Lepisosteus oculatus: one gene and its partners. The protein of the gene in region 1 binds, or shares a complex with, the protein of each later gene. Links are inferred from orthologs where the notes say so. Each region holds a gene or a part of one and is shown in the gene's direction. Other genes may lie near its edges.

What was found.
Region 2: prpf31 (region 1) and snrnp40 share a complex: the UniProt entries of both Homo sapiens proteins name them as parts of the U4/U6-U5 tri-snRNP complex. The link is inferred for Lepisosteus oculatus from reciprocal best matches to the Homo sapiens genes PRPF31 and SNRNP40.
Region 3: prpf31 (region 1) and snrnp200 share a complex: the UniProt entries of both Homo sapiens proteins name them as parts of the U4/U6-U5 tri-snRNP complex. The link is inferred for Lepisosteus oculatus from reciprocal best matches to the Homo sapiens genes PRPF31 and SNRNP200.
Region 4: prpf31 (region 1) and lsm5 share a complex: the UniProt entries of both Homo sapiens proteins name them as parts of the U4/U6-U5 tri-snRNP complex. The link is inferred for Lepisosteus oculatus from reciprocal best matches to the Homo sapiens genes PRPF31 and LSM5.

The regions. Positions count from the first base shown.
Region 1 is NC_090718.1:264,644-272,194, reverse strand, and holds the start of prpf31 (U4/U6 small nuclear ribonucleoprotein Prp31), read left to right. Parts: upstream 1-4,549; 5' UTR 4,550-4,691; intron 4,692-4,828; coding exon 4,829-5,053; intron 5,054-5,224; coding exon 5,225-5,285; intron 5,286-5,367; coding exon 5,368-5,451; intron 5,452-5,592; coding exon 5,593-5,690; intron 5,691-7,332; coding exon 7,333-7,439; intron 7,440-7,551. Other genes in the region: serine/threonine-protein kinase LMTK3, read left to right, coding at 466-602, 1,193-1,365, 1,750-2,090, 2,348-2,447, 2,814-2,929. UniProt on the Homo sapiens protein: Involved in pre-mRNA splicing as component of the spliceosome. Required for the assembly of the U4/U5/U6 tri-snRNP complex, one of the building blocks of the spliceosome.
Region 2 is NC_090706.1:10,109,683-10,116,952, reverse strand, and holds the start of snrnp40 (U5 small nuclear ribonucleoprotein 40 kDa protein), read left to right. Parts: upstream 1-4,255; 5' UTR 4,256-4,407; coding exon 4,408-4,527; intron 4,528-5,463; coding exon 5,464-5,593; intron 5,594-6,089; coding exon 6,090-6,183; intron 6,184-7,270. Other genes in the region: zcchc17 (zinc finger CCHC domain-containing protein 17), read right to left, coding at 1-18. UniProt on the Homo sapiens protein: Required for pre-mRNA splicing as component of the activated spliceosome. Component of the U5 small nuclear ribonucleoprotein (snRNP) complex and the U4/U6-U5 tri-snRNP complex, building blocks of the spliceosome.
Region 3 is NC_090697.1:70,222,793-70,230,396, reverse strand, and holds the start of snrnp200 (U5 small nuclear ribonucleoprotein 200 kDa helicase), read left to right. Parts: upstream 1-4,602; 5' UTR 4,603-4,835; coding exon 4,836-4,880; intron 4,881-5,527; coding exon 5,528-5,691; intron 5,692-6,307; coding exon 6,308-6,479; intron 6,480-6,839; coding exon 6,840-7,032; intron 7,033-7,356; coding exon 7,357-7,412; intron 7,413-7,604. UniProt on the Homo sapiens protein: Catalyzes the ATP-dependent unwinding of U4/U6 RNA duplices, an essential step in the assembly of a catalytically active spliceosome. Plays a role in pre-mRNA splicing as a core component of precatalytic, catalytic and postcatalytic spliceosomal complexes.
Region 4 is NC_090701.1:6,000,852-6,008,103, reverse strand, and holds the start of lsm5 (U6 snRNA-associated Sm-like protein LSm5), read left to right. Parts: upstream 1-4,241; 5' UTR 4,242-4,300; coding exon 4,301-4,346; intron 4,347-5,435; coding exon of another isoform or gene 5,436-5,438; exon of another isoform or gene 5,439-5,518; intron 5,519-5,546; coding exon 5,547-5,642; intron 5,643-6,183; coding exon 6,184-6,211; intron 6,212-6,770; coding exon 6,771-6,843; intron 6,844-7,252. Other genes in the region: late secretory pathway protein AVL9 homolog, read right to left, coding at 2,881-2,964. UniProt on the Homo sapiens protein: Plays a role in pre-mRNA splicing as component of the U4/U6-U5 tri-snRNP complex that is involved in spliceosome assembly, and as component of the precatalytic spliceosome (spliceosome B complex).

The DNA.
Region 1 (7,551 bases):
TCCAGTCTGTGGGGGTCGATGTGTCGCAGTGTCCAGTCTGTGGGGGTCGATGTGTCGCAGTGTCCAGTCTGTGGGGGTCGATGTGCCGCAGTGTCCAGTCTGTGGGGTCAATGTGCCGCAGTGTCCACTCTGTGGGGGTCGATGTGTCGCAGTGTCCAGTCTGTGGGGGTCGATGTGCCGCAGTGTCCAGTCTGTGGGGGTCGATGTGTCGCAGTGTCCAGTCTGTGGGGTCAATGTGCCGCAGTGTCCACTCTGTGGGGGTCGATGTGTCGCAGTGTCCAGTCTGTGGGGGTCGATGTGTCGCAGTGTCCAGTCTGTGGGGGTCGATGTGTCGCAGTGTCCAGTCTGTGGGGGTCGATGTGCCGCAGTGTCCAGTCTGTGGGGGTCGATGTGCCGCAGTGTCCGGCCGGCACTGATGTAGGGTCCTGTCCTCTGTACTGTCTTGAGTCACACGCTCTCCACCAGGTTTGTCAGGAGAGGCTGCAGTTCACCCTGAGCGAGAACGTCAGCAGAAACGTCCTGTGGGGGGCGCCGGTGAGCGAGGCAGTACAGCTCCGGCCCTGGGGGCAGCCCGACGACAGAGAGAGGGACACGAAGGAACGGTGAGGACCACAGGGCTCCGGGAGTCCAGCGACACACAGTGCATAGCTACACACAGCCGGTCAAAGTCCTGGTTCTCACGGATGGCTAGTGTCCGATTGTGAGATCCCGATGCTGGTGCTGATGCTCTAGAACCGAACCACCTCTGTCAGGGAGAGCTGCGGCTGTCCTCCCTCTGATGCCTGCTCTCAGATGTAGATGCGAAACTAGTATCTCCAAATTTGGGAGGAGTGAAAGGAGAAGTTAAATTATTTGATTTACTTAGATTTAAATAACCCAGCAGGAGATAATCGCTGATCACTCAGGTTTCTGTCCTACATTGGTCTTAATTTTTGGATCCTGTCGCTTATCAAGCTGAGTGGTTAAATTGTCTAATCATTCTTCTTAGAGCTGTTTTTACACCCTGGTGAGAGACGTTTCACCTGGGCAGTCATCCTCTGCCATGTGAGGAGGAATAGCCTTCTGAGAAGTGATAGAATTGTATTATAAATTCTCTATTTTCATGTTGTGTTAAAGTTTAGTTACTTATTGATCACCCATGAGTGTGACCATTTTCGTTCTTTTTGCTCATCTCATCTTCCTTTGTCTGCAGCAGATGTGATGTTACGTTTGAAAGTCCCAAGGACAGCAACTTTGAGTCTCACCCAGCACAGCTTCCTGGGAAGGTGGAGAATATCGACGCTGCTGTCAGTGATCCAGCTGTCATGATTGGACGAGACGCAGGGGTTACACCTCCTCTACCTGTTACCAACCAATCAATGAAAGGTAAGACTCCCAGTGCAGGACAAAATACAATTTCTTAGCTCACATTCTGTGTATATATAAATGGTATCTGTTTTAAACTTTCTCCATGCTAAATGTGTCTATAGGGTCTGTATTGATCCCTCTGTGTGTGAGGAGTGTATCTGGGGTTTGTATTAGGGTCTGTATTAATCTCTGTGTGTGAGAAGTGTCTCTGGGGTCTGTATGAGGGTCTGTATTAATCTCTCTGTGTGAGGAGTGTCTCTAGAGTTTGTATTAGGGTCTGTATTAATCTGTGTGTGAGGAGTGTCTCTGGGGTCTGTATTAATCTCTCTGTGTGAGGAGTGTTTCTGGGGTCTGTATTAATCTCTTATCTAGGTGTGACTCTCATTGTTTCTCTTCTTCCAGCGAAGCTCGCCCGTCTCTCCCTCTCCCTGCCCCCTCTTGCTCTCTCTCTCCCTGTCTCACCCAACCCCTGCAGAGGATTCTGGGAAGGGGCTGAAGAAGGGGTCAGGGTAGGTCGCCGAGGGAGAGGAAGTGACCCAGATGAGGAGGAGGAGGAGGAAGAGGACGAGGAGGGGGCGGGGCGGGTGATCGTTGTCACGGAGACAGATGTGGAGAGGCGGCTGGGCCTGCGCAGTCTGCTGAAGTCTCCTCGTGAGCCGATGGAGAGAGAGAGGGAGGGCGAGAGAGACAGATCACGCAATGTGTCCTTCTTTGATGATGTCACCATTTATCTCTTTGATCAGGTCCGTTTGTCTGTGTGTCCATCAGTACTGTCAGTCTGTGTCCATCAGTACTGTCACTGTGTGACTGTCAGTCTGTGTCCGTCAGTACTGTCAGTCTGTCCATCAGTACTGTCAGTGTGTGACTGTCTGTGTGTGTCCATCAGTACTGTCAGTGTGTGTGCCACTGTATGTTTTCTCTGCTTGTGTATCCCATTGTGTGTGGAAACACTGGGCGAGTCTGATGGAGTCTCACACTCTGTTCTCCTCCCTCCCTGCAGGAAACGCCTACAAATGAGCTCAGCTCTGGCTCTGCCCCCACCAGCCCCACCCCTTCCTGTGATGTCACAGGAGACCCCGCCTCCAGGACACAGGAACTGGGTTGGTCCTGTTACGTTAGTAACCTGCCCTGAACACCTTGTGTCTCATTAATAACTAGATGAGTATATGATCCTGGCCTGGACTATAGATACTGTACTCTCTACGTGTGGTAATTTATTGTATATCAGTGAACTGGTTATTATATGGTATCCGTGTGTCAATTAAGGACTACAGTTTCAATGTAGATGAATAGTCCTATTACAGCAGGAGCTGCAGTAATTGTGTATTGCAACAGCAGGGAAACAGGTAGATTATTTTGCTCCATGCTGAGAGGAAAGGGGGACTCTTCAGGCACAGGATTCCTCAGGGAGGAGAAGTTGTTTGCTTTGCAGAATCCACTGCTGTTATTCCCCTCCTGTCCACTAGGTGTCGGAGGCGCCAGAGAGGACCCTGTGATCGGCGTCGGGGGGGCGGAGTCCAGGCTGCCGGCGCTGCCGTCCCGGTTCACTGTTAGCCCCGCCCATGACCCCCATTTAGTCTGAGCGTCCGAGTGCCCGCCCCCCCCCCCACCCCCCCCGCCGGCCACGCCCGCTCGTGCCCCGGTCCCTCTCCTCCCGACCTCTGACCTCTGACCTCCGGGAGGGCGGTGTTACCTCTGAGGCCCCGGGTTCGAGCCCCTGGGGCAGGAGCTGTGGAGGAGCGTGGGGGTCGGTGTCGGAAGAGGTCGATGATCAAAAGCAGTTTTATTTATTTGTCGGAGGGTCACGTCTGTCGGCACCGGACCGCTTTAGTGCTGCAGGCCGAAGAGTTAGGGTTCTGTCGGGCCCATGTCTGTGCCTGTACTGGTACTAGAACTGGGTTCTACTGGACCTGCACAGCTGGACTAATAACTCAATATGAAGAACAGGTCTGGGAGAGGAGATCACGGCATATTTCTAATATTTACTTTCTTGGTCTTAATAAACCATTTTTTACAATCGTTGTTGCTGAGATGTCTACTGACGCTGTCTGTGTTTGTGTCTTGTTTCTCCTCTGTTTGTTGATTAATGTCAATTAACTTGCGTTGTTTAACGAGCTGGTTTCAAAATATATTGTACAAATTAAAAGATCGGAACTGTGACACATTTAATGAAGTTTGATTAAAATAAATTGTACTGTCTTCTATTAAAACATCTCTAGACTCTCATTTATGTTCTTAGACTCAGTGTCCTGTACAATAGGAGCTACAGTCCCAGTGCAGTAGAACAGTCTGTTACAATAAGAGCTTCAGTCCCAGTACAGTAGAACAGTCCTGTTACAATAGGAGCTACAGTCCCAGTACAGTAGAGCAGTCCTGTTACAGTAGGAGCTACAGTCCCAGTGCAGTAGAACAGTCCTGTTACAATAGGAGCTACAGTCCCAGTGCAGTAGAACAGTCTGTTACAATAAGAGCTTCAGTCCCAGTGCAATAGAACAGTCTTGTTACAACAGGAGCTACAGTCCCAGTGCAGAAGAACAATCTTGTTACAATAGGAGCTACAGTCCCAGTGAAGTAGAACAGTCTTGTTACAACAGGAGCTACAGTCCCAGTGCAGTACAACAGTCCTGTTACAATAGGAGCTACAGTCCCAGTACAGTAGAGCAGTCCTGTTACAGTAGGAGCTACAGTCCCAGTGCAGTAGAACAGTCCTGTTACAATAGGAGCTACAGTCCCAGTACAGTAGAACAGTCTGTTACAATAGGAGCTACAGTCCCAGTGCAGTAGAACAGTCCTGTTACAATAGGAGCTACAGTCCCAGTGCAGTAGAACAGTCTTGTTCCAACAGGAGCTACAGTCCCAGTGCAGTACAACAGTCCTGTTACAATAGGAGCTACAGTCCCAGTACAGTAGAACAGTCTGTTACAATAGGAGCTACAGTCCCAGTGCAGTAGAACAGTCCTGTTACAATAGGAGCTACAGTCCCAGTGCAGTAGAACAGTCCTGTTACAATAGGAGCTATAGTCCCAGTACAGTAGAACAGTCTGTTACAATAGGAGCTACAGTCCCAGTGCAGTAGAACAGTCCTGTTACAATAGGAGCTGCAGTCCCAGTGCAGTAGACGTCACTAATCTCACGCTGCGTAACCTGGAGAAATCACATGGGCACAACGCGTTCTTTTAGGCCTCCACGCGAGAGCGACTGTGACGTCATCAACCGGCGACGGGAGGTGACGCAGTTTGTGCGGTCGGTGTGCTGGAAGCTGTGAAGCTCGAACTGTTTTCGCTTAGATCTCCGGACCTGGTTTGTTTATCTGACCACCCGAGAAGCAGAAAGAAGGGGAAGAGGTAAGAGATCGCTTCCTTTCGCTGGGGCGGAGAGTGTTTCAGTCCCCGGAGCGCTGCTGTAGAGGACTCTGCGGTTTCAGCCGAGTCTCTTAAGATTGATGAGATGAGGGGTTTGTTGGGGCTCTGCTCTCTCTCAGATGTCTTTGGCGGACGAGCTGCTGGCGGACCTGGAGGAGGCTGGAGACGAGGGCGACGAGCCGGGTCTGTACCCGGGGGCAGAGGGGGCCGACGGAGCGGACAGCGATGGGGAGGGTGGGGCGGAAGGCCCGGGGGGGCTGGCTGACATCCCGGAGGAGATGGAGGTGGATTACAGCGGCACAGAGAGCGTCACCTCCATCGCCAAGCTGAGACACAGCAAGTCGGTGAGTCCCGCCTGTATCCGCCTGACTGCAGACTGCTCGGTGTGAGAGACAGTTAGTTCAGGGCTCGGTTTGTGTGTGAGAGAAAGACAGTTCAGGGCTCAGTGTCTCTCAGGCTGTGATTGACGAGGTGTGACTTGTGCTGTGAAATACCTCTGTTCTTTGTCTTTCTAGTTTGCAGAGATAATGGAGAAGATCAGTCAGTACATTGGTAACCAGCGCAAGACCTCAGAAGGTAAGAGCGAGTGGGTGGCGCCGGCGTGATGCTGTGCTGGCAAGTCTGTTCTGACCCGACTCTCCCTCCCTCTCTCACACAGTCTCTGGGCCGGTGGAGGCCGACCCGGAATACAGGCTGATCGTGGACGCCAACAACCTGACCGTGGAGATCGACAACGAGCTCAGTGAGTGTCCGGCCTGCAGCCTTCCTCCCACGACTCTCAGCACAAAGGGGTGCCCACTGTTCGCAGTCCTGTGCGCTCTGTGGGTCCTTTCTTCCACACTGACCATCTCCCCCTCTGTCCTGCTGTTCCTCTTTCTCCCAGATATCATCCACAAGTTCGTGCGAGACAAGTACTCCAAGAGGTTTCCAGAACTGGAGTCTCTTGTGCCAAACTCTCTGGACTACATCCGCACTGTCAGGGTAGGAACCTCAGTCCTGACTGACTGTGACTGGAGTCCCTGGTGCTGTTGATCTGGGCCTGGCTAACGTCTCAGATTCCTGAGCTTAAACTGCGTGACCAGCTCACTATCTGTTCCTCAGGCTGGGACAGGAGTTCACACGCTGTATTATTATTATTATTATTATTATTATTATTATTATTATTATTATTATTGAGAGACAGGCTCACTGTCTGTTCCTCAGGCTGGGACAGGAGGTCACACACTGTATTATTATTATTGAGAGACAGGCTCACTGTCTGTTCCTCAGGCTGGGACAGGAGGTCACACACTGTATTATTATTATTGAGAGACAGGCTCACTGTCTGTTCCTCAGGCTGGGACAGGAGGTCACACACTGTATTATTATTGAGAGACAGGCTCACTGTCTTTTCCTCAGCAAGGGACAGGAGGTCACACACTGTATTATTATTGAGAGACAGGCTCACTGTCTATTCCTCGGGCTGGGACAAGAGGTCACACACTGTATTATTATTATTGAGAGACAGGCTTACTGTCTGTTCCTTGGGCTGGGACAGGAGGTCACACACTGTATTATTATTATTATTATTATTATTATTGAGAGACAGGCTCACTGTCTGTTCCTCAGGCTGGGACAGGAGGTCACACACTGTATTATTATTATTGAGAGACAGGCTCACTGTCTGTTCCTCAGGCTGGGACAGGAGGTCACACACTGTATTATTATTATTGAGAGACAGGCTCACTGTCTTTTCCTCAGCAAGGGACAGGAGGTCACACACTGTATTATTATTGAGAGACAGGCTCACTGTCTATTCCTCGGGCTGGGACAAGAGGTCACACACTGTATTATTATTATTGAGAGACAGGCTTACTGTCTGTTCCTTGGGCTGGGACAGGAGGTCACACACTGTATTATTATTGAGAGACAGGCTCACTGTCTGTTCCTCGGGCTTAGAAAAGGAGGTCACACACTGTATTATTATTATTGAGGGACAGGCTCACTGTCTGTTCCTCGGGCTGGGACAGGAGGTCACACACTGTATTATTATTGAGAGACAGGCTCACTGTCTGTTCCTCGGGCTGAGACAGGAGGTCACACACTGTATTATTATTATTGAGAGACAGGCTCACTGTCTGTTCCTCGGGCTGGGACAGGAGGTCACACACTGTATTATTATTATTGAGAGACAGGCTCACTGTCTGTTCCTCGGGCTTGGAAAGAAGGTCACACACTGTATTATTATTATTGAGAGACAGGCTCATTGTCTGTTCCTCAGGCTGGGACAGGAGCTCACACACTGTATTATTATTGAGACAGGCTCATTGTCTGTTCCTCAGGCTGGGACAGGAGCTCACACACTGTATTATTATTGAGACAGGCTCACTGTCTGTTCCTCAGGCTGGGACAGGAGCTCACACACTGGGCTGCCAGTTCAACTGAGTTCTCTCCTGCCCCTCCCAGTAGGATTGGGAGTTTTTGTGTTTCTGGCAGGTGTGGGAATTCTGGGATTAGATTTGTAAAGTTGGGAAAGAATTTCTGTTCATGGAGGTTGTTTTTACAGACCTATGTGTGTAGGGCTTTTATGAGTGTAATCACCGAGTGTGATCCTGGTCTGTGCGTGTACCTGTCTTGGTCTCAGGAGCTGGGGAACAATCTGGACAAGTGTAAAAACAACGAGACGCTGCAGCAGATCCTGACCAACGCAACTATCATGGTGGTCAGTGTGACGGCCTCCACAACGCAGGGGTGAGACTGAGCAGCATGGTTGCACGCTGACCGCTGGCTGAGTGACTGACTGACTCACAGATGATCCTGTTGAAGTGCTGTATCCCCGTGTGGAGTCATACGGACTCCTGTG
Region 2 (7,270 bases), on another chromosome or scaffold:
CTCGGGCAGTTCATCCATGGCTGTCCTCTGGTCTGAGATCTATTCTGCTAAACTAATTTGCGGTGTGTGCCTCGACTTCATCTCCTCAGGAAAATTCCTAGGTGAAGTGAAAATAATCCTATTATTCCAAACTATACCTATACATAAAGATACTGGACAAAAAAAAACAGAAACTCTGAATTGTCACTTGACAGGGTGTTGGGCCACCACCTGCAGCCTGTACAGCCTGTATGTGCTAGGACATGGAGTCTACCAGCATTTTGAATTCTGCAGGAGGGATGTGGCGCCATTCTTCAAGGAGAAAGACAGCCAACTCACTCCGGATTGGCAGAGGTGGAAAATGATAACTCAGGCATAGTGCTAGATTATCTCATAACTGCTCACTTGGGGTCCGGTGAGTGAAAAGACCAGAACATGTGGATAACATCAGTGTCTTGCTCAGACCTATGGCCCACCACTCATGCTCTGTGGGTGGAAAGAAGAGCTGCAACACAGGCTGAAGATAAGCACTCAGTACCATTAAGCAGCGATTACCATTGATCTTGCCTTCTAAGGAAATGAGCACACTCAAACCATTCTTGGAAAATGACAAAACCACCAGGACCCAACACAGAACCAAATAATACCCATCTATGAATTGGCCTCATTACTCTCTGCTCTCCTCCCCACTGATAGCTGGTGTGTGGTGAGCGTTCTGGCGCACTATGGCTGCCATCGCATCATCCAGGTGGATGCTGCACATTGGTGGTGGTGGAGGGGAGACCAGAAAAGCGCTATATAAGTGTAAGCAATTATTATTATTATTATCTATCATATCCCATTTCTTCACTGCTCGGCAGTCTAACGCCTGGGCTCGCCAGAGTGCACTGCAACATGGCAGTTGAAATGGGCTGAGATGTGCAGTCAATCGATCTGCAGTTGGACATTACAACCCCGGAATACGCACTTTTCCCACTTTAGACACCGATGCTCTCGAAACATCAGCCCGGCGAGCTGTCAAACGCGCCCAAATATCCACCCCTTTTCCAAAGTCACTGTGGTCCAGTATTTTTAACACTCGCAATCCCAAGCTTACCCAGAGTATTTACATTTTTGTCCACTACCTCAACAATCACACAGGAGCATTTTAGACATCCCAGTTAACCTAGCCAGCATGTCTTATTACAAACTGTTGTAATATAAACCTGCTTCCGAAACGTAGGGACGAGAGTGAAAAGAGTAGCATAACCAAAACTAACTGATCATGCAGCAATAGTGCACAGTACTATTAAACCAAAGGCACATTGCGTCAAACAAACACCATTACATACCAGAACGTCTGCACTTAGCGAAAACAACATTGCAATTTACTGTATTAAATCTTTTGATATAAGACAGAACATACTTCCTGAAGAAAACAAAACTAAGTCACTAACCCACATTCGCATGCCTCAGGAGCTACAAAGAGCGGCAGAGTGCAGTCAGCGCCTGCGTATAACAGGCAGGCTCTACAACCAATACACGGCTCCTTCGCTTTCTGTTCCGGGGTGAGAGTCCGCCTATCGGATTTAAGGGGGCGGGTTATGGCAGTGCGGGCGAACAAGGAAAGGCCCAATTACATAGACGTAAAATAAAAATACTGTAAATATTATCCAATCAGAATCGTCAGTAGCCTGATGTTCTTTTTGCAGACTCTCGCCCTATTGTGTTCGCGGGTGGTAGCTTCGAATACAGGTGATAGGGTGAGAACACGTCGGTTGAGTTTACAAGTTTATTTGATAATAGGGTTTTGATTCGGACTTGAGTAAAAAAATGATGGAGCAGAAGAGATCAAGAAATTAGATGGTGTCCGCGGCTCAGTCCCAGCATCTTAAACAGATACGATTATTGAATTCAAAATACTTCATTCATCCCCAGGGGGTCAATTTAAACAGCAAGCGGTGTAACATGCATCGCGAGTGCAGAAGTAGTTATAAAATCTAGCCAGCAGCCATATCACCCTGCAACTCACAACTGGCAACCCACTGAAACTAAGTGGGTGTGAGCCTGGTCAGTACCTGGATGGGAGACCTCCTGGGAAAAACTAAGGTTGCTGCTGGAAGAGGTGTTAGTGGGCCCAGCAGGGGGTGCTCACCCTGCAGTCCATGTGGGTCTTAATGCCCCGGTATAGTGAGGGGGACACTATACTATAAACAAGCGCCGTCCTTCGGATGAGATGTAAAACCGAGGTCCTGACTCTCTGTGGTCATTAAAAATCCCAGGGTGTTTCTCGAAAAGAGTAGGGGTGTAACCCCGGTGTCCTGGCCAAATTTCCCATTGGCCTTTACCAATCATGGCCTCCTAATAACCCCCCTCTATGAATTGGCTACATTACTCTGCTCTCTTCCCCACTGATAGCTGGTGTGTGGTGAGCGTTCTGGTGCACTATGGTACAGGTGGTGGTGGAGGGGAGTCCCCATTACCTGTAAAGCGCTTTGAGTGGAGTGTCCAGAAAAGCGCAATATAAGTGTATAAGTGTAAGCAATTAATTACACTGACAGAGACTGAAGACCAAGGTTGAAACGGACACTTCCACACAAAGCACTAGGTTGTTTGAAGATTCTATTTTAAATAGTATATATTACAGAAATTACAGACAAATTGGTGGTTTATGCCACAATATACTTTGTTTTTGTCAAGTGTTTTATGTCATGATGCTTGCATTTGTACCCCAAAACACTTGGAAATCTGTGTAGTTTCTAAATAATTGGCACTGATAACCGCTCCTTTTTACTGTCTGGTTTCTATTGCAGTACTTAAAAACAGAACATTTTTTTTCCAGCCACTTTTCTTAATTCAGATTATTTTTCTAAAACTTAATTGCAATGTAAAATACAAATAGTATCATCTACCACGGAGGTGGCAGTTTACTCCAGGGGTTGACCTCTTCGTGGTGCGGTGGCTCTGTAGCTAAGGATTAGCGCCTGTAGCTGGTGGAAGGTTGCCAGTTTATACTGTATCCCGCAGCTGGCAGAAAAATCCTATTCCGTTCGGATCCTGAACAAGGCCCTTAAGCCCTAACTGCTCCAGGGGCGCTCTGACCCCAAGCTTCCCTTCCTGTCTATATCTCCTGGAGAGCAAGCTGGGGTATGCAAAAAGAGAAATCCTAATAAAAGAAATTGTATATGGCCAGTAAAGTGAACATGCACAGGGGTCAATTACTTGTCAAATACTCCCAGGCAGTTAACCGAGATAATTTGACTGTTTGATTAGGCCGTTGACACACTGTAATGAGCACCCCAGCTAAATACCTACATCATAAACCACCAACAAACATTTCCATGCCTATGCTACAAAGAACCTTGCAGCACAAATTCCAACATCCTATAAGCTGACGTAGTAATAATAATAATAATAATAATAATAATAATAATAATAATAATAATAATAAACTTTATTTTATATAGCGCATTTAAAGGTGACTTCTCAAAGTGCTTTACAGAATGACAACAACAGTAAATAAAAAGAATACACAAGATAAAACACAATTTCAATATACAGAGGAGACCATGGATGGTGGTACTAAGAAAAGCAGAGGGGTGAAGAATGGAACCAGTTCAGTAAAGGCTTTTCTAAAGAAGAAGGTTTTGAGTCTGGATTTGAAGGAGCTTAGAGAAGGTGACTCTCTGACATCCTTGGGCAGAGAGTTCCAGAACTTGGGGACATAACAGGAGAAGGCCCTGTCATGTAGACGGGCTTGGGGGACAGTAAGGAGACCAGAATTAGACGAGGGAAGGTTGTGAGGTGGGGAGTAGGGCGATAATAGTTCAGACAGGTACTGAGGTGCCAAGCCATGCAGAGCCTTGTAGGTGAGCATGAGGATTTTAAAGTTCACACGGAATTTGACAGGAAGCCAGTGCAAGGACTCCAGAATAGGAGTAATGTGATCATTTGCACTAGACCTGGTCAGGATTCTGGCTGCTGAATTTTGGACATACTGCAGTTTGTTCAAAGTAGATTTAGATACCCCAGCGAGCAGATCATTATAGTAGTCAATTCGAGAGAACACAAATGTGATCAGCTGTCCGTGCAGCTACGTACACTGTCCATTCAGCTTTTCAGTATAACAGACAGGCATTTCAACCAATACACAGCTACTCTACTTTCGGTTCCGGGGTGAGAGTCCGTCTATCGGACTCTAATGTTAGGCGGCGGGGCGGGTGAAAAATAAGGCGACCAATTACATAAGACGTAAAATAACAACCTCTAAATGTTATCCAATCAGAATCGTCAGTCACCGGAAGTTCTTTCTGCGGATGCTCGCCGCGTTTGTGTTGTTGGGTGCTCTTGGATGTGGTTCGGAGTTTAGCTATTTAGTTGAAAAGGCAACGGTTGTATCGACATATTCATTCGAAAGTAACGTTTTGATTTGAAATTGAGTAAAAAGAAATGATAGAACAGAAGAAGAGGAAGGGAGTAGGGCCAACGGAGATGGCTCTGGTTCCGACGAACAAGAGACCAAGAAATGAGCTGGTGGCCGCGGCTCAGTCCCAGCAGCTCATGCAGATGGTAGGAACTAAAAATACGTTGGCTGAATAATGCGTATAGTTCATTTTATTTTACCGAGCTCTTTGTGTTCTGCGAATTATAGCCTAAACGACACCAACTTGTTATTTACATTCGAGATATGGATGTTTTGACACACTGTACTGTTTTAAATTGAGTTCCGCCTCTTCTTTATTTTTTAATAACACCTGTTATTTGTATTTGAAATCGTGGTTAATATTTGGTAACATCAGTTCATGTTCGTTGAACATTTCAACGGCCTCAGTGCTTGATTTTGCAGTAGTGTTCGTGCAGGTTTTGACCTAAAATTCACCTAAGTTTCATACTAACAAATCATATTTCTGTTTAACAAATCAGATTTATCACAGCAAACAAATTGCTTTATAATCCTAATGCTTAGTCTGAAACTACACTGCATATATAGTATGTGTAAAGTACAATAGACAATTTAAATGTATTAGTTTGTGATCTGATCATTACATCCTGTTTGTGAAACGTTAATTTCTTCTTTGCTTTATATCATTTTTAAAACCGGGCAAAGATTGCAACGCCGAGTCTTCAAAGAAGAAGATGCGAAGGTTGTGACAAAGATGTAGTTTATCGAGGACTCCGGTCCATACACAGGAAGCCTAGTCTTAATTCTAGCTGGGAAAGTTTGTTTTGCCCTGTTTGAAGTTTAAAGATATTTTTTGTTAATGAGAATTCTAAAACATATCTGTAAAAGTACATTCTTAGAATACATTTTGGAATTGGGGAAGGTGTTCAGATGTATATGAAATCGTTTGCTGAACACAGGATTGTGGATGCAAAAGCCTCTCGTCTTAAAGACAGTCCTGCTCAACTGGAGCTGATTAGATTTTATTGTGCTCTTTGCATGAACTTCTGCCCTGAATATTATGGCTAATCTGACTCTGTACCCTCTTGTCTGTGTAATCACAGGGCCCCCCACGAAGTTCCAGTTTGCAGGCTCCTATCATGCTTCTCAGTGGCCATGAGGGAGAGGTCTACTGCTGCAAGTTTCACCCCAATGGGGCCACGCTGGCATCCGCAGGCTACGACAGGCTGATCTGTGAGTACTTGTGATCAGTTTCTTTTCCTGAGGTAATAAAAACACATGTATTAGTTCAGGTGGGTAGCTGCGTCAGCATGCGTAGGCTGCAAAGGAACAAGTAATAGGTTTATTCCGTGCCAGGGAAAAAAGAAGAAAGAAAACAACGTTTCGGCCGTGGCGTTTCGGCTCTTCAGGTGTGAGCAAATCGCATGCATGTTTGGTGTGTTGCGATTGGAGTAGAAGCAAAAGGACACTTAGACTGTGTGGCCAGCCTCTGTTCACCAGACCCCTAAAACAATTCTTTACAAAGTATGAGAGAGTACGACTTCACTCTTGTGTTTCCTAGGAAAGACTCGATTGAATACGATTTGTTCAAGGAATTTGAAAATCTCCTTATTTTTTTTTGATGAAGCAGTTGCATGTCCTTAGGGGTTCAGTACCCAAGATCATTTAAAAACAGTGTGTACAGAACATTCTCGGGCTTAATCTATTTTTCTGCTATTTTTGCTTTCAGTGCTATGGAGTGTTTATGGGGATTGTGACAATTACGCCACTCTGAAAGGCCACAGTGGAGCCGTCATGGAGTTGCATTATAACACAGATGGCAGGTAATGTATATATACCTAAATTGTTTGATTTCTACAAAGGTTCTCCTTAGTTAAATAAGAAGATTGTGTTCATATTAATGGGTTTTTTATTCATAAACGTTATGCAGCAATGTAGTTTAATTCCTCTACTTTTCAACAGTACGTTCTAGGTCCTTTTGTGTTGCTTACTGTATGCTTAGTTGAGAGCTTATTATTACTTTGAATCTGAGCAATCTAGCCTGGCAACATCTCACACATTGGACACCAAAGCTGTGTACTTCAAACAGTAGTTGATCAGCTGACTGCTGTGTGTGATTCTGGATTTAAACTTTATTTAGAAGATTTTAAGGGGCAATAGTACACGGAATCAGATTATTCACATTAATCTGTTACCTGTATCATTATTGTACTTTCAGCATTCCTTTGGTTCTGTTAACATTTCTAGACTGGACACCTCACAGAAATGCTTTAAAAAGACAGTATTATAGTGCAAAATAGAGCTGAAATGTGCCCGAGCTTCATAATCCTGTATAGCTGGGAGAGTGGAATAGCAGGGGGTGATATGCCATAATGATTCCCAGAATGACAGCTGCACAAACACAGCCATAACAGTGCTCTAGACACAACAGCCAGAGCTCACCATACACGGCATGCAGTATAGGTTTGATACAAACCCATATAGAAACACAGAGTTTAAAAGCCCAGCCCTTCTTCGAGCTTTAGCTAAACGTCTGTTTTCTCCTGTAAATCTGGCAGCTAAGGTGCTTACAAGCTACAAAGCAAATCTCTCTCTCCCAAAGTCTTTCCCAAAAATAATCTCTGTTCCAAAAATTATTCTTGTCTTTAAAAACTTTTGTCACTCCAGTGGCCGGTCCTTCAGTCACTTCCTTCTCCTTCTGATGTGGGTTGTGTAGGATTCCCTGCTCTCCTTCTACACAGCAGAGGCAGGTGGCCAACCCGGAAGCATCAGATTCCTAGTTTTAAATGTCACCAACCAATTGTCTTGCTCTGATTGGTCAAGTGATTGAAGATGGCAGTTCATTCCCCACATAACCCTCACTCCACAGCATTCTGGGGAATGTGGTTCAGACAAGAATCTCCACCCTGT
Region 3 (7,604 bases), on another chromosome or scaffold:
AAAGCTCCAGTTGCAATACAAGTGGGAAAGGCAGACCTATGTGGTCGCTGTAGTTTGTTTCGAAGACCCCATTTCTCGCAAGCCAAGACTATGTCAGATGTTTGCATGGTGAAGAATATCGAAATAGTATTGCAACTAAGTGATATGTTACAGTGTAAAAGCTATTTGAATGGTATAGACCGGTGGCTCATAACTTGGGGTGCACACAACCTCTGGAGGTGTGAGATGTCCTTTCTCTGGGTTGCCAGTCAGGCAATAAAAATACAAATTATGCCTAGGCACACAACTACAACTACTTTGTTTCATCATGCCTAGGCATTTTAAGTTAAACCTAGAATAAATGTGTATTTTTTTCATGTATTCTTAATGAAACTGAGAAATTAACATACATATATAATTCTGTCTTGTTCATTCTACGGTTATGACCTACATCAGTGATATTTGATAAGATGTATGAGATGATACTTCCTACATCCCTACCTCCTTGACCATTAGAAGATCCCAGGCAGGTCCTGGATAAATTCCACTCTGGGATAACATATTCTAAAACACCAAAAAAACCTAATTTAAATTTCTTACATCTTCACCCGACCTGCTGTGTAGTTAGACAGCTGTTGGATAGTGGCTGCCGAAGGTCAAGCAAGTGGCTGGCTTCTGTATTTCGGTGGTGGAGGTAAAGTGTTTCCTCCTGTTTGAAAAGCACTTTGAATATTTAAGGAACTTATTTAAGGAACTGTAGTTGTTAATTTTACATTGGAGCCTGTAGGGAGTGTGGCGACACACAAGTCCAAAGTGGTTTGGCATTTGCAATAGGCTGGTAGAGTACACCCAGGCCACTGGTCTTCTGTTGTTTTGCCCTTGGCTTTTCCTTAAAGCAATCCTGGTGCCATTAAATCAGATAATGATTCATTTAAAGTTATTTTTAAGACATTTTAAAAAAGATTTCAATTAGAAAATATGATGCGAAATATCGGAGCTTTTAACGTACGTGTGTGATTTGACAGGCCACTTGAAATCTGTCACATTTTAAAAGTTGGAAAATGGTTAACCCAGCAACTGGAAGATTCATTAGGACAAAGACACAGTGGGTCTCACGGATGTGAGTTGGACAAGAGTTTGGGTCTATAGCGCTTCCTCCTCACACACAGGCAGGTGGTCAGTGCAAAGCAGAGTATTTCTGTTGCAGTGTTGGAAACGAGATGTTTTTTTTACTCCATTGCTCTTTTGAAAAGTAATGACTTCAGTATTAAAGGTTGTCCTTCTGGCACTTTCAAAGAGCATCAGCACCCTTACAATATGCCTACTGACAAGGGCACTACTGAATAACACAAGGTGACAAGGAGGGACAAAGCTATGTTTGACTTTATGTCAAGAATTTGTTTAAAAGGAGCACACACAGCAAATGTGATTGCCTGTGCTAATTAAAAGCATGCACTCGAAATAACCTGTCAGTTCTCAGCTACATTTTTCCTGCAAAAAACTGTTCTCAAAAAGCTGTAAAACCTAACTGGATTCTTTTCTCTTTTCTTGTATATGAGTTGTGTGCAAATCCCAGTCTTTGTGTGTATTTTAATAACTTCTTCGACATTGAAAAAAATAAATAAACTGTTTTAAAAAATCAGCTCCTCTTCTACAGTATTATGTTTCCTTCTAGGCTGAATAAAAAGATTAACTAAGCTATGCCAAATTTCCTTAACAGTGTCCCTGGTCCTGTAAGGTTTTTCCAGCACTTTTAGAGCAAACTAAAAGTGAAATTCTATGCTGAATTTCTATAAGATGTATACATGTCCTATTATATGCATTGCTTTAGTACCCTGTGACACAGAAACCTACTGTGTATGCATTGTAGGAACAGAATGTTATTACTGTGTTATAAGATATTTTTAAAGTGCATACAATATGGTTCAGGGCTCCACATAGCTTTAATCTCACAATTGTTTTCTTCTAAATAAGAACATACTGGACAAAGGACAAGAAAAATTACTGAATGCAATAGCTTGAGGATGGAGAATTATTTAAGATGCATATATGAATGCAGGTTAAATACTTCTGTATGAGCTGCATTATAATGAATTTTAAAAGTCAGAGTTAATGTCTTAGAAACAACCCACAAAGACAGAGAAAGACTGGAAAGCCTTACCAATATAGTGTTAATCATTCCTGGAGAAATATTTAGCAATGCAAATGAGCTTTGAAGCCAAAATAGCCACAGATAATCCCACAGAATCATAGAGCAAATCCTATGTGTTTTAAAATGACATTACTAGTACGGGCATTTCTTTTCAGCATGGAATTAACCCTTACTTGTTCCTTTGCAGTATTAGATACTCCTTTGAACCCACTCCAGATTTAAACAGTTGGTGTCAGCCTCCAAACTGTTTTGTCACTTTGCTCTGTTATAATGTAAAAGGCATATTATAACATATTTTGTTGATATGTGGAAGGGCTGTTATTTTTTTCTACTGTAGGTGTGAACCTGACCTAAGTTTATTCCTTTGTAAACATAGCAGAAGTAAGAGGTCCTACTCATCACATGGTTTCAATTATTGTGCTTATGTGCACATCACGGTTGTAACCAAGCTTTCTTAATTTTATTGGCCGATCGTCTCCGGTCACAAACAACAGACAGGAGAAGTATTAAAAAGCTTTGCCTTTCCATTTCTCCCCTAAATTGTACGGTTCTTTTCCCTAATCTTATGACAAATGTGAGCTCCATTGTAGTTAGTCTGGCCTGCTGGTGTAGATGTGGGCCCATACTGCTCTTGTTAAAATTGATTGCAATATCTGTGCTTTAAATGTCAATAGTGTAGATATAGGGAAGAAATACCCATCATCTCTTTCCTCCTTGTATACAGTACTTTTAAGTTAAGACTTTCATATGTAAATAGTTATTTTATAGTGGTTGTTTGTAAGTAACAAAATATGCTTTTGTGACGAGAGCTGTGGCACAGTGGTGCGTGCTATCTGTGTGGAGTTTGTGTGTTTGCATTGATTTTCTCTGGGTGCTTCAGTTTCCTCCCTCAAACCAAAATAAGAGTGGTAGGTTGTCTTCTGGGAAAATTGGCCCTGGTGGGAGTGTGTGACTCTGTGTGCCCTGCAATGGACTGGCATCCTGTGCAGGATGTACCCTGCCTTGCGCCTGTTGCTTGTTGGAGAGGCTGCGGCGCCCCTGCGACCCTGGATTGGAAGAAGCTGTTAGAAAATGGATGCATTGGAAAAAGTCCGTTTGTCATGGCCTTTTCATAGTTGCAATACGTATCAAAGGCTTGAATGCTATCAAGGTCTTGTGAATTAACCTCTTAAAAAATAAAATAATGTGACCACACCTGACTATTAGCTCTTTGTTCACAGAATAGTTGTCTATTCATCTTCATATCTCTTTCGGTATTTGTTCAGGTTCTCTCTGTATAAGATGAGTTTGCATTTCAATTTAAATTGGAGATGAGGGGGATGAAGGCTGAACTCTGTGAATGAGGTATGCAAATCTCTGTTAGCTAAGACCTACTAAGGGAACAATTGCACAGAGAGGCAATCAGGCGCTCGCTTGATGGAGATGCAAGAGCTTCAGGTGAGGATGAAAACAATGAGGGTGCTATTTAGATCACAGGAGGGATCAGAAAATTACTGTGTGGTGCAAAAAGGAGTTACATCAAATGATCTCAACAAACACAGAACAGTATACCAATTCTTCATGATCTTGGAGTTACAAGGACATTGTAATAGTTGTACTCAGAAACATTTAAACATTTTCTTTTTTGCATTTTACAAAAAAAAATTCTCTCTTGTTTACAAATGCATTGTTTCAGTCTGCTCAAATGATACATCTTCAGATAAATCACCCCGGTAGCAGGAAAGATTATTGTATATTATAATTAAAATCTTATTATTGACTTAACTGTATTAGGGTGTTACATAATCAATCTACAGAAGCCAAGCAAAATTAAAATTATGAGTAACAACAAACAATTGCTCCAACAGGGATTTTTAAAATACTATGAGTCTGTCTTGGTGCCCTGCAGTAATTAAGGAACACTCGAGAATCTGAAAAAAGCTAGTTTTCAAGTTACATATTCATATTTCTTTAGCTCATGGGCACCTTTCCTGGCTCAAAGTCCTCGAAACCTGGGACAAAGGTTACATTATTAGTCAAAAAAGTACCATGATTAATAATAATTATTAATATTAATAATGACCAAAGTAGCATAATAATTACCCATGACACAGTATGGCTTTTCCAACTCTCATAAAAAATGTCATTTAAATCATGTTACGTTCACAACCGGTGATAAAGGGATAATTTGCAAGCAAATTAAAACATCTTCAGATTGTTAAAATCTTATTTATACTTCAAAAATAAAGAAGTACTGATCCAAACCGTGTAAGTAACATAATCACACCTCAATTTAATAGTGCAATTACTGTTTTCGATTCATAATCAATACTAGACATATGCATCTCATGTTATACTGCAACATTCTCGCTATTTGTTTTTTTCAGTAGCACAGTCCAGCACCTCGTATTTGGACTCCTGACCTCCCGCCTCCCCACATGACAAGTTACTTTTACCGTGCCCCGGAAGCGGAAGTGATCTGCGCAGTGGGCCCGGTGGCGTGTGTGTTTTTGAAACGCACAGCCAACGCGAGGGAAGTGATCAGAGTAGAGGGGGGCTGAGAATTAATTCCTAAATACTCTAAACAGTTATCCTGTAGCCGTAAAAGTAAGGGAGATCCCTGGATACAAAACGAAATCGTTTACAGACGTAACAGATATCTTATCTTTCTTCTGCCGAGGTAGGCTTGAGCGGGGAGGTCGGCGTGTGAAGCGCCGGATCAGCCATGGCGGATGTAACTGCTCGGAGCCTGCAGTACGAGTACAAAGCCGTAAGTAGCACAAACAGCGCGCCAGTGCAAATGTAACTATAACTTTTTGTTGTATTCGAGCTTGTGGCGTTCTGTAAGTTTTGCATTGCAAGCTGGAAAAAGTGAAACGTTTGCAACCCTACGCCGCGAGTGTGGGGTGAGATGGGACTGTTCAGTTCCCAATGTAGGGCTGATTTTTCTGTTTACAAGAGGTCTGTGTACCTTTGTATGCAGCAAAGGTGAGTTGTTGCTTAGTTTGCGCTATTCCATTGCATACTTTGGCTTTGACATAAGCCCCTCTTATTTTGTACCAGAGCCTCAGAAGCTCTGGTATTAAGCAGGTTTCTTTGAAGTTGCAGCAATCAAAGATCCGGGGAGGTTTAAATGGCCAATTAAGCCAATAATTATGATTAGGATTAAGAGCTGACCTAGAATGAATATCTACAGATTCCTTGGGTCTCCAAGTTTTGACATTGCTGTTGGTTTAGATCCCAATAGGTGAGTCGGAAGCAAGAAATGAGAGGAGGTATAGAGTTAGTGAAGGAGCCAGTAGGGCCTCATCTGATCACTGATATTTACGCAGCATCTGTTCAGAGTACTTTGTATTGGTCTAAAATTATGATGCATACAGAGCTGTGGCCTGAATGTTTTCTTTTTCTCCCGAACAGAACTCTAATCTTGTACTGCAAGCAGATCGGTCTCTGATCGACCGGACTCGCCGCGATGAGCCCACAGGTGAGGTTCTGTCCCTTGTGGGAAAGCTGGATGGTACCAAGATGGGGGACAAGTCCCAGAGGACAAAGCCACAGATGCTGGAGGAGAGAAGAGCCAAGTAAGACCATATGGGTTTAATAGATCGAGTTCAGAGTCTTTCCTTGCTGTCCTGGGACTAGTGTTTGCCACCTGAAGAGTTTTTTTGTTTTATGAGCATGTGGTGTGTAAACATGGCATAGTGGCCAAATGTTTGTGAACATGGCCATCCGCATAATATAGCCAGATTTCCCGGTGCAGGCTTTTCCTGGAAACGTGTAGACCTGGAAAAAACACTTGAAAATAAAATGTCCTGGTAAAGGAAATACAATAAAGATATGTAGAAAATTCAGTATTGGGTACATTACTACGTGTAAATATACACCTTTTGAATGCTGGTGTGTTTTTTTTAATCGTGTATGTGCATGTGGTAAAATGGGAATAGATCAGTGGATGCTTTTTGTGATGCTGGCTCTCTAGACAGGTTTGGCTAGCCTTGTAATCCTCAAGGACTGGAACTACATAGTCCTTGTGTGTAGTTTTACAGAATGGGACTGATCGTGTGCAGAGTTACCTTTGAGGCACCTGCAGTGTTTAAGCCCACTTTAATGGAAGAGTGTGGGATCCTGTTTGCTGAGGCTCTGGCTGAGCGGTTCAGGGGAGATTGACGACCCTGTGCCCACTTGTTCTTCGTGCAGGAGGAGGAAGAGAGATGAGGACCGGCATGACATCAACAAGATGAAGGGTTTCACCCTGCTGTCAGAGGGCATCGATGAGATGGTGGGCATCGTCTACAAGCCCAAAACCAAGGAGACCAGGGAGACCTATGAGGTTCTTCTCAGCTTCATCCAGGCTGCCCTGGGAGACCAGGTGAGGGGCGTGTTTCAGTAGTCTCTTGTGGTGTTTTGACACATTACTGGAAGCTTTAGGAAGTTTTTTTCTGCAACACAGTGTGGTATGTTTGCAAGGTGTGTTGTGGTGTATGTGCTTCATCACAAAATGTTATCATCCTATTGCCTAATGACTTATATATTACTGCTTTATCGTGATTTTTGTCATGATTGGCACCATCTCAGAATATTAACAAGTTACATTGGGTTGTAACATAGCTTTTAAGAGTGTTTACTAGAACATTAAGAGATGGGGGTTAATAGCATTTTCAAAGCAAAATGTCAAGATGAGGGAGGCTTCTTCCCTGTGACTGATCAGGCATTTTGAATGTCCTTGAAGCCCAGAGACATCTTGTGTGGGGCAGCCGACGAGGTGCTGGCTGTGCTGAAGAACGAGAAGATGAGAGACAAGGAACGACGCAAGGAGATTGAGCAGCTGCTGGGTCCCACTGACGACACGCGTTACCATGTGCTGGTCAACCTGGGCAAGAAGATCAGCGACTACGGAGGAGACAAGGAGCTCCAGAATATGGGTACAGAGTCCACCTGTTACTTTATCACAGGGGCAGCTAGCCTAGAACCTGGAGAGCTGCGGCCTTGTGGATTTTATTTAAGCCTGCATTGTTATATTTGGTTCTTGATCTTAATGGGTGAAAACACCTGTTTTGTTTAATAGTGATTGATGATTTGTAGGTGTGTGCCAGTCCTACAGTATTGAAGCTTACTAGATTAGGATTAATACAAAATTAAATGGATTTATCATTTATAGGAATTGGATAGGAAAGATGTGTCGCAGAACAATATTGTATGTGCATTCTCTCCTGATAATCTTTCATGTTACCATTTTTGTGTTGTAGATGACAATATTGATGAAACGTATGGTGTCAATGTACAGTTTGAGTCTGATGAAGAGGTGAGTATATGTGACATCTAACCTTACCAAATATAAAGAGCTGTAGGCTTCCCTCCCCCAAGAATCCCAATACAAATGAGTACAAAATGGGCAGAAAAATTCAAAGTTGAAATGGCATATGACCTGGAGGAATTTATATCCAGGGTGCCATGTGTCCCAAGATTTAAGTGGGAATTCTGAGTGGCGGGTGAA
Region 4 (7,252 bases), on another chromosome or scaffold:
CCACTTATAGCCACAAACCGATATTCCCCAAGTGGCCTCCGTACCCAGTACTGACTGGGGCAAGAACTGCTAAATTCCCAGTTTCTGATGAGATCAGCTCACAAAGTGGTCATGATGCTGTAGTACAGTCTTCCGCGATTTTTACTTAGTTCAAAATTAAAAAACAAACATTTAATCAAATAATGATACAGTACAGGTCTTGGACTGCATAAAACAGAATTACTATGTTGATGCGGTAACAGAGACACAGATTATCAAAGATCTGATTTCATTTTGGAAGTGAATCTTTCTTCCTCTCAGTGAGAAGTATTTAAGTCTGTATCATCACCACAGTATTTTGTCACCTTATATCCCTACCAACAGTCTTACTCACACCTGAAGAAAGCTCCACGGCCAAAACGTTGTGTTTTCTTTCTTCTCTTTTCAGCATGGAATACACCTATAACTTGTTCCTTGATCATTTGTTATGGTTCTCTAGAGCATATATAGGCATAGATATGTATAAGTCCCACAGCAACCTACTGCATATAAAGAGGTAGTTCTAATTTTAGTGGTGTGAGATTATCTAAGGCAGAAATTACATGTCAAAGAACTGTGTTTACCAAGTTACTTGTTACACCGAGGCCAGTTATTTCTAATTGATAGTCTGTGTCCACAATCTTGTTAGAATTGACAATTACTTGACAAACAAACAGAAGCCAAATTATCTCAAACTGCATTTGATCTGCAAGACATTTGATTTTTCCAAGCCTGCAGTGGTCAGAAAGATGTACGTCCCCTGCCCTCCCAGGCTGAAGCCAAAGATAAGCCGTTGTCAGTCCTTTCCCTGCTGAAACAAAACCCGCTGTGAGCTCCCTCCAGCTCACCAAGGAGGAAAACCTGATGTGCTGTGCCCAGTTTGCAAATGTTTTACAATTCAGCTGAGCCTTGCCCACGTCTACAGCCTGCTACTGAGTGCTGTCAAACAGCTTTACAGAAACATGGTGGACTGGTGAGTGAAATGTATACTTCAGGTGGCATTCAAATTCACATGGAAACAACTTGGAGAGTGTCAGGTTACTGCAAGCAGCACCTGAGCTTTTCAGGGATCCTTTATCAACTGTTAGTGAAAGACCACAATCACTTTCAGCTTAATTGGGCACCCATCAGTGAAATGTTTAAGAGATACTGTCTAGTTTATAGCAGCATTGTCCTGCATTTGAAAGTTGATTTTCATCCAAGCAAATAAGTGACCTTACACGATATTATACCCAAGAGCATAAAAACGGTTAAGCAAAGTTTAAGCATCTACATGCACACACATACAAGGGACACCCCTCAGGTCCTGGTGTTTTTAGGAGCAAGCAGTAGCTCTGAATATGACTTATCTCTGGCACTTTCACAATTCCCAACATCCATACACTCATACGTATTGCACATAGCTCTAACGTTTTGCAATCTACTCTGAGCTAAGTGTATCAGAAACTGTTCTCTATATTTTTGCAATTGTTCTGTAATTTGTTTCCCCATCGCCATTCACAAGATCCTAACGGAGTACAATAGAATTTGATCTCCACAGAGAAACACCCTCAGCTGCCTAGATCAGCGCTTTCGCACAGTACACGGCTTTAATTGGCCTGACCACAAGGGCGCTCAGAGGATTTTCTGACACTACTGCTAACATGTCAGTGTCAATATGCAGTCTTTCTACAAAAGCTTGCTGGATGTTTCATATTCCTCTTACCTAATACTTTCTCCGTCAGACTTATCATCATGAAAGCACACTCTGTTCCGCTAGTGCCATTCCCCTATCCTGAAAACAGTTTACACTCCGTACTGCAGAAAACGGTGGAGGCGATTTTTCAAAAAGACCCTTCTTCGACACTGAGGTGGACTTGACGTTTCTACCCATTACAGCTGGGGACTTTACAGGACAAGTACGGTTCTCAGGGGAACAACACTGGGACCCCTGCTGAGATCTGAGCCCGAAACTTTGAAGCCCTACCCTTACAGCTATATCACAGTGCAGCCTAGACATAGGCGAGGGGAAAGGACAGCTTCTGCAGTCGTGTGGTGTGGTGACAACACCGATAAATTAATTAGATACGTCTAACTGAAAACAGACCGCGGATAACTAGACTAAACAAAGTATTTGCCTTCAAAAAACCCTACAGAGCACAGGCCTATCTGTAAGAAGCTGTTTTAGGGGCTCTCTAGTATTATTTGTGGAACCTGAGATATTACGTACAGCAAAGGAAAATACACACAATCTTTGACCTACAGTATGTCCGGGAACACGAAAAACGGCCGTTTATCTGATAGAGGACTGATTTCTTCATATGTGAGAACATCAGTGCTCCGCATTAGTGAAGCAATCTCTGCAAACACAAGATGCTGAATTTAGCCATCGGCTGGCTTTATGCAACAGAAGGTTCCTTGTTGAATGCACATATCCAATTCTCTGCTAAACGAGCCATAAACGCGCACGATCGTTCACGGACCTGGAAGTATTGCATTTTTTTTTTTTATCTGCAATCAGCGATAATCGCAGGCAGGCTTTAAAATGGGCTGTCTCGCACGGTTGAGAAAGCAGTTTGTCACCCGGGCTGGGCGAATCGCGCTGCTGTGGATGCGAGGTCCGATCTGAGTCCCACACCCCCTTTCCAAACAGTGTTGCTGTATTTCTGTCGGCTGACACTGACTCAAGCCCTCACTCCCCACCCACCACAGGCAAACGAGAAAACACAACCAGCAGGAAAGGCGCCCCGTCGCGTTTTCCAGAACATACTCCGGGCTTTTGCAGTGGTCAAAAGCGCCTCCGCCAGCGGCAGGGAAACATTTTCCCCCAACGTGCGGCTCCCAGTGCCTTACCGCCTCTCAGTCTGTCTCACCGCATCTCACCTGGCAGCCTTTCTTGTGATGAAAGCCAACAACCACTATGTGCAGCACGGGGCCCCTGGGCTCCTCTCTCCCATGTGGCTCCATGGCTGCCCACCCCACCCCCGCGGATATGCCGGCCGCGAACGGACGCTGTAGGGAAGCCGCAGACGGACTCTCGCCGGGATCTGAACCTGCGGGGCTCCTGCTCGCCGGTGTTGATGGCCGCCTCTCTCCGCCACCAGCGGCTTCGCTTCCGCCTTGCGGGTGACGTCAGGGGAGCCGCTCCGCCCCGCAGCGCCCCCGCACGGCCGCAGGCGGAACTGGCGCGTCCAGCCTCGCCGCACACCTGGCCGCTGCCGTAGCGGTGTACACGTACTGCGCCACACGCGAACACTCTCCCCGTTTCACATGGTCAGAAGTACCTGGTCGTTTTAATTCGCTCATACCGTGGGCGCACACGCATCGCCTGACATTATAGATAACAAACGTACAGTGATTAAGCACACCACGATTCGTCATTTGGCAGAGGCCTGAGCAGTCTTCGCTAGGTATTAAAACAACGGAAAAAATACTGGAAACAGTCATGAGAAGGAACAAGTAATAGGTTTATTCCATGCTGAAAAAAAGAAGAAAGAGAACACAGCGTTTCGGCCTGGAGCCTTCTTCAGGTGTGGCCGAAACGCTGTGTTCTCTTTCTTCTTTTTTTCAGCATGGAATAAACCTATTACTTGTTCCTTTGCAGCCTACGCATGCTGACGCAGCTACCCACCTGAACTACAGTCATGAGAATACTTATTAATACTGTCAACTTAATCAAACGCCGCGGTCCAATGTTTTGAATTCGTCTAAAAGATTGGATGTTTACACGCCAGTTGGAAAAAGGCTTTGAGGTACACTATTCGGTGAAGTTAATTATTTTGAAGCTCCTCTATAGTTAAATTCCCAGCCTCCCTCACTCTCACTCTCACTCTCACCTCTCACCTGTGATCTGAACCTCACAGTGCCTTCTTCCTTTCTTTCTTACCAAAAATCCAAACACACATTGAAAATCTACCTCTACCATACATGTCAAAAGCTCACTCCCCATCATTTCTATCCCTTTTATTCTGTTGATGCATATTTTTGCACATAACCTGTTACCCTTTTGTTATTTTGCACATTGCCTGTTGTTGTTTTTTGCACATTGCCTGTTGTTGTTTTTTTCTATTTGTACTATTTATTTCCGAGAGCTAGCTAAATAGCATTTCGTTATACCATATACCATGTATATGAGTGTAATGACAACAAACTTGAAAACTTGAGCTGGTTCTCGTGCGAGCAGAAGAACATCACACCGCTCTGTTTTCTAATATACATTAGGTGACGGTCGGGTGTCGATTGTTTCTGTCTGATTTGCACGTTGAAGTTTTCTTCGATTGGTCGAGTCTACCTTCCTTCAAACATGGCGGCGGCTCCGGCTACAAACCCTTCACAATTGCTCCCGCTTGGTATGTGAATTAAACGTGAAGCAAAACATTTTAACGCGAAGTTGTTGAAGTACTAAGACCTGCCTAAGTAGTACCGTCGGTGGTGTACATTTTACAATCTAAAAAATATACCACAAGCGTCTATAGCCTAAGACTGCCAACTGGCCGGTTTTAATAAGGACGTGCAGGTGGTCCGTGAATTAACCCAATCGTTCGTTTTTGTTCTTTTTGAATTATGAATTGAAGTATTGAGTTGCAGTTATGTATCTGTCCCTCATTGCACTGTAATGCTAAGTTTGTCTATACGCAACTTTCCTGTAAATTACTAATTTTTGTTTACGACTTGGCCCATTTCTAAACAGTCCAAACACGGTACTGTCTCAATCTTTGCTGTAGTGTTTAGCCGAATATTTCCCAAAAAGTAAGAAAGAACAAAAAAAAAGTAGAAGCGTTCGTTGACGGTTTATGTTCGCTAATGTGAAATTATACCTAGCTATGTCCATCTAGTCATGTTATTAATTAACCAGATAAGGCAGTAGGGAACAAACGATCATTTCCATGGTGCAATGGATCTGTTTATAAAGCAGGGCATTTACTGTAATAAATGTGTAATATGCCAATGTGTAATATGTGTACACGGCATCAGCGTCTCTAACACTCCAAGTTTCCGCACGAAGTTGTGGATTATTATTTTCTTGTAGATGAAACAATTCCACATCATATTGTATGGTTATTCTTTGCCGTCTCACGCTGTGTGTTACAGCAATAACTTCCTCGATTGTGTCGACTTACATCATTAAAACATTGTATTTATCGTGAGCAGAGGAAAATCCATTTTTTTATATAATTTTCCTATTTTAGAAGAAAAAATGTCATTTATTTTGCTAATGAGGTCGATGATATCCAATGAACTTGTTTTCGGAGCAGTTTATTCTTTGATCATGTTACTTGTTTCGAATATGTTTAACCCCCGTATCCTTGAAGTCTGTTCATGAGCACTGCTGCTGTCTAAAAATGTCCGCTTAATTTATATTTGTGTCTGTGAAGTAATCAGTTCTAGTGATTTCTCCTGTGTCATTCTGATGTTTTTATATAACAAGGGTAACTTACCATTACAGTATCCTAGAAGTGTCAGCAGATGTGGCTAAGTTCTATGAAACAGCTGAAATCTTATCACAGTATTCCTTGTTCTCTCCTCTCCCCTCCCGTTATCTTCTTTAGAGCTTGTGGACAAATGTATTGGTTCCCGGATTCATATTGTGATGAAGAACGACAAGGAGATTGTCGGCACTCTGTTGGGATTTGATGACTTTGTCAGTATCCTTTTTACAGTAATATGGATGTTGTATATCATCACATGTGAAGTTAAGACTAACAGTTTTGATCAATAGTAATAAGTAATGGAGCTAGTTGGTTGTTCAATATGTTGTCTTTTTTCAGCATTGATTTCAAGATTGCACATCCAAGAAAAACCTTTTTACCAGATACAGACACATTTTGTAATTCAAAATGGGTCATAAACTGGTGAATAATAGAATCTTTGCTTTTCTTTGGAATGGCAGATTGTATCATGACAAAAATATACAGTCTGGTGGAGTATTCGCGTATTGTGTTGCCTGAGATAAAATTCCATTAAAGTGAAGCAAGGTCACATCATAAAAATTCAACTTCTTGCAGTAAGATTGTACTTGGCATATGTTTTACGAAAGCTTATGCACAATGCAGTGTCTATAACAGAATTGTTTTACGTTAAAATATAATAAGATGTAAAATACTAAATCTATTGCTGAAAACTAAAAACATAACAATTTATGGTTTTAACTTTGTAAAACATGCTTTCCTTTACTTGCATTCTCAGACATGGTGCTTGAAGATGTCACTGAATTGTAAGGTTTTGTTTTGTTCATGCTAAAATAAGAAATGCTATGATGTTCAGATTGTTACAGGCAAAAATCTTTAATTTTCTCATTGAAAATGAGCACTGAATTAATGCATATTCAAATTGCAATTTGTTTTCTTACATAAGAAAGTCTGTTACTTTATTTACATCTTGACTCGTGCATTTGAAGAGTTAAATTCTGATCATAATGTAATTTTTTTACAGAACTGGAGTACACTATTTTAATAACTTCTAGCTTTATTGCCTTTAGACATTAGCAAAATAAAATATAAAAAAATCATAATCTTAATAAAAATGTCAAAAATCAACAACAATGTTGTATTATTAATTTCAATTAATAATTCATAGTGTCATCTTAACACAATTCACAAATACCTTTCATTACTAAAATCGCTTGTGTTCTCATTTCAGAGAATTTGATTTTTGTGAATTGCTTATGGGTACAAAGTTGTTTATTTGTGTTAGTTTTCTTTTCATTTTAAGGCTGTACTATTAGTGATTATCGATTAGTAGCATCGTTTATTTCAGGAAGCCTTGTTTTTTAGTGAGATCACACCAGAGGGAAGGAGGATAACCAAACTGGATCAGATCTTATTGAATGGAAACAACATCACCATGGTAAGTGTGTTAATAAAGGAAAACCTAATGGTGATACTTTTCTTGTGATTTATACAGTTTAGGCAATGATTCCTTTAAAATTGAACTCAATTGACAGGCCACAACACTGTCAAGCTGGATATACCTACTTACTTGCACTTATTTGTCTTTTTGTATTGGATGTTGTTAACTTAAAAACATTAAAACATTAAAGATTTGAATGTAATCTTTTTTTAAGGAAGAAAGTATGTGGTGTTGTTCCATGTTTTATAACAGCAATTTACTTTGTTAAACATCCATTTTAGTTATGTTTTTAGAAGGATAAAGCAGATGGATTTTGGACATTGATTAAATAGTTTTGGCATGATATTAATTAATTGGACAGACTGATACATTTAAGTGACTTGTAAATGTTGCATGAGGACTAAGC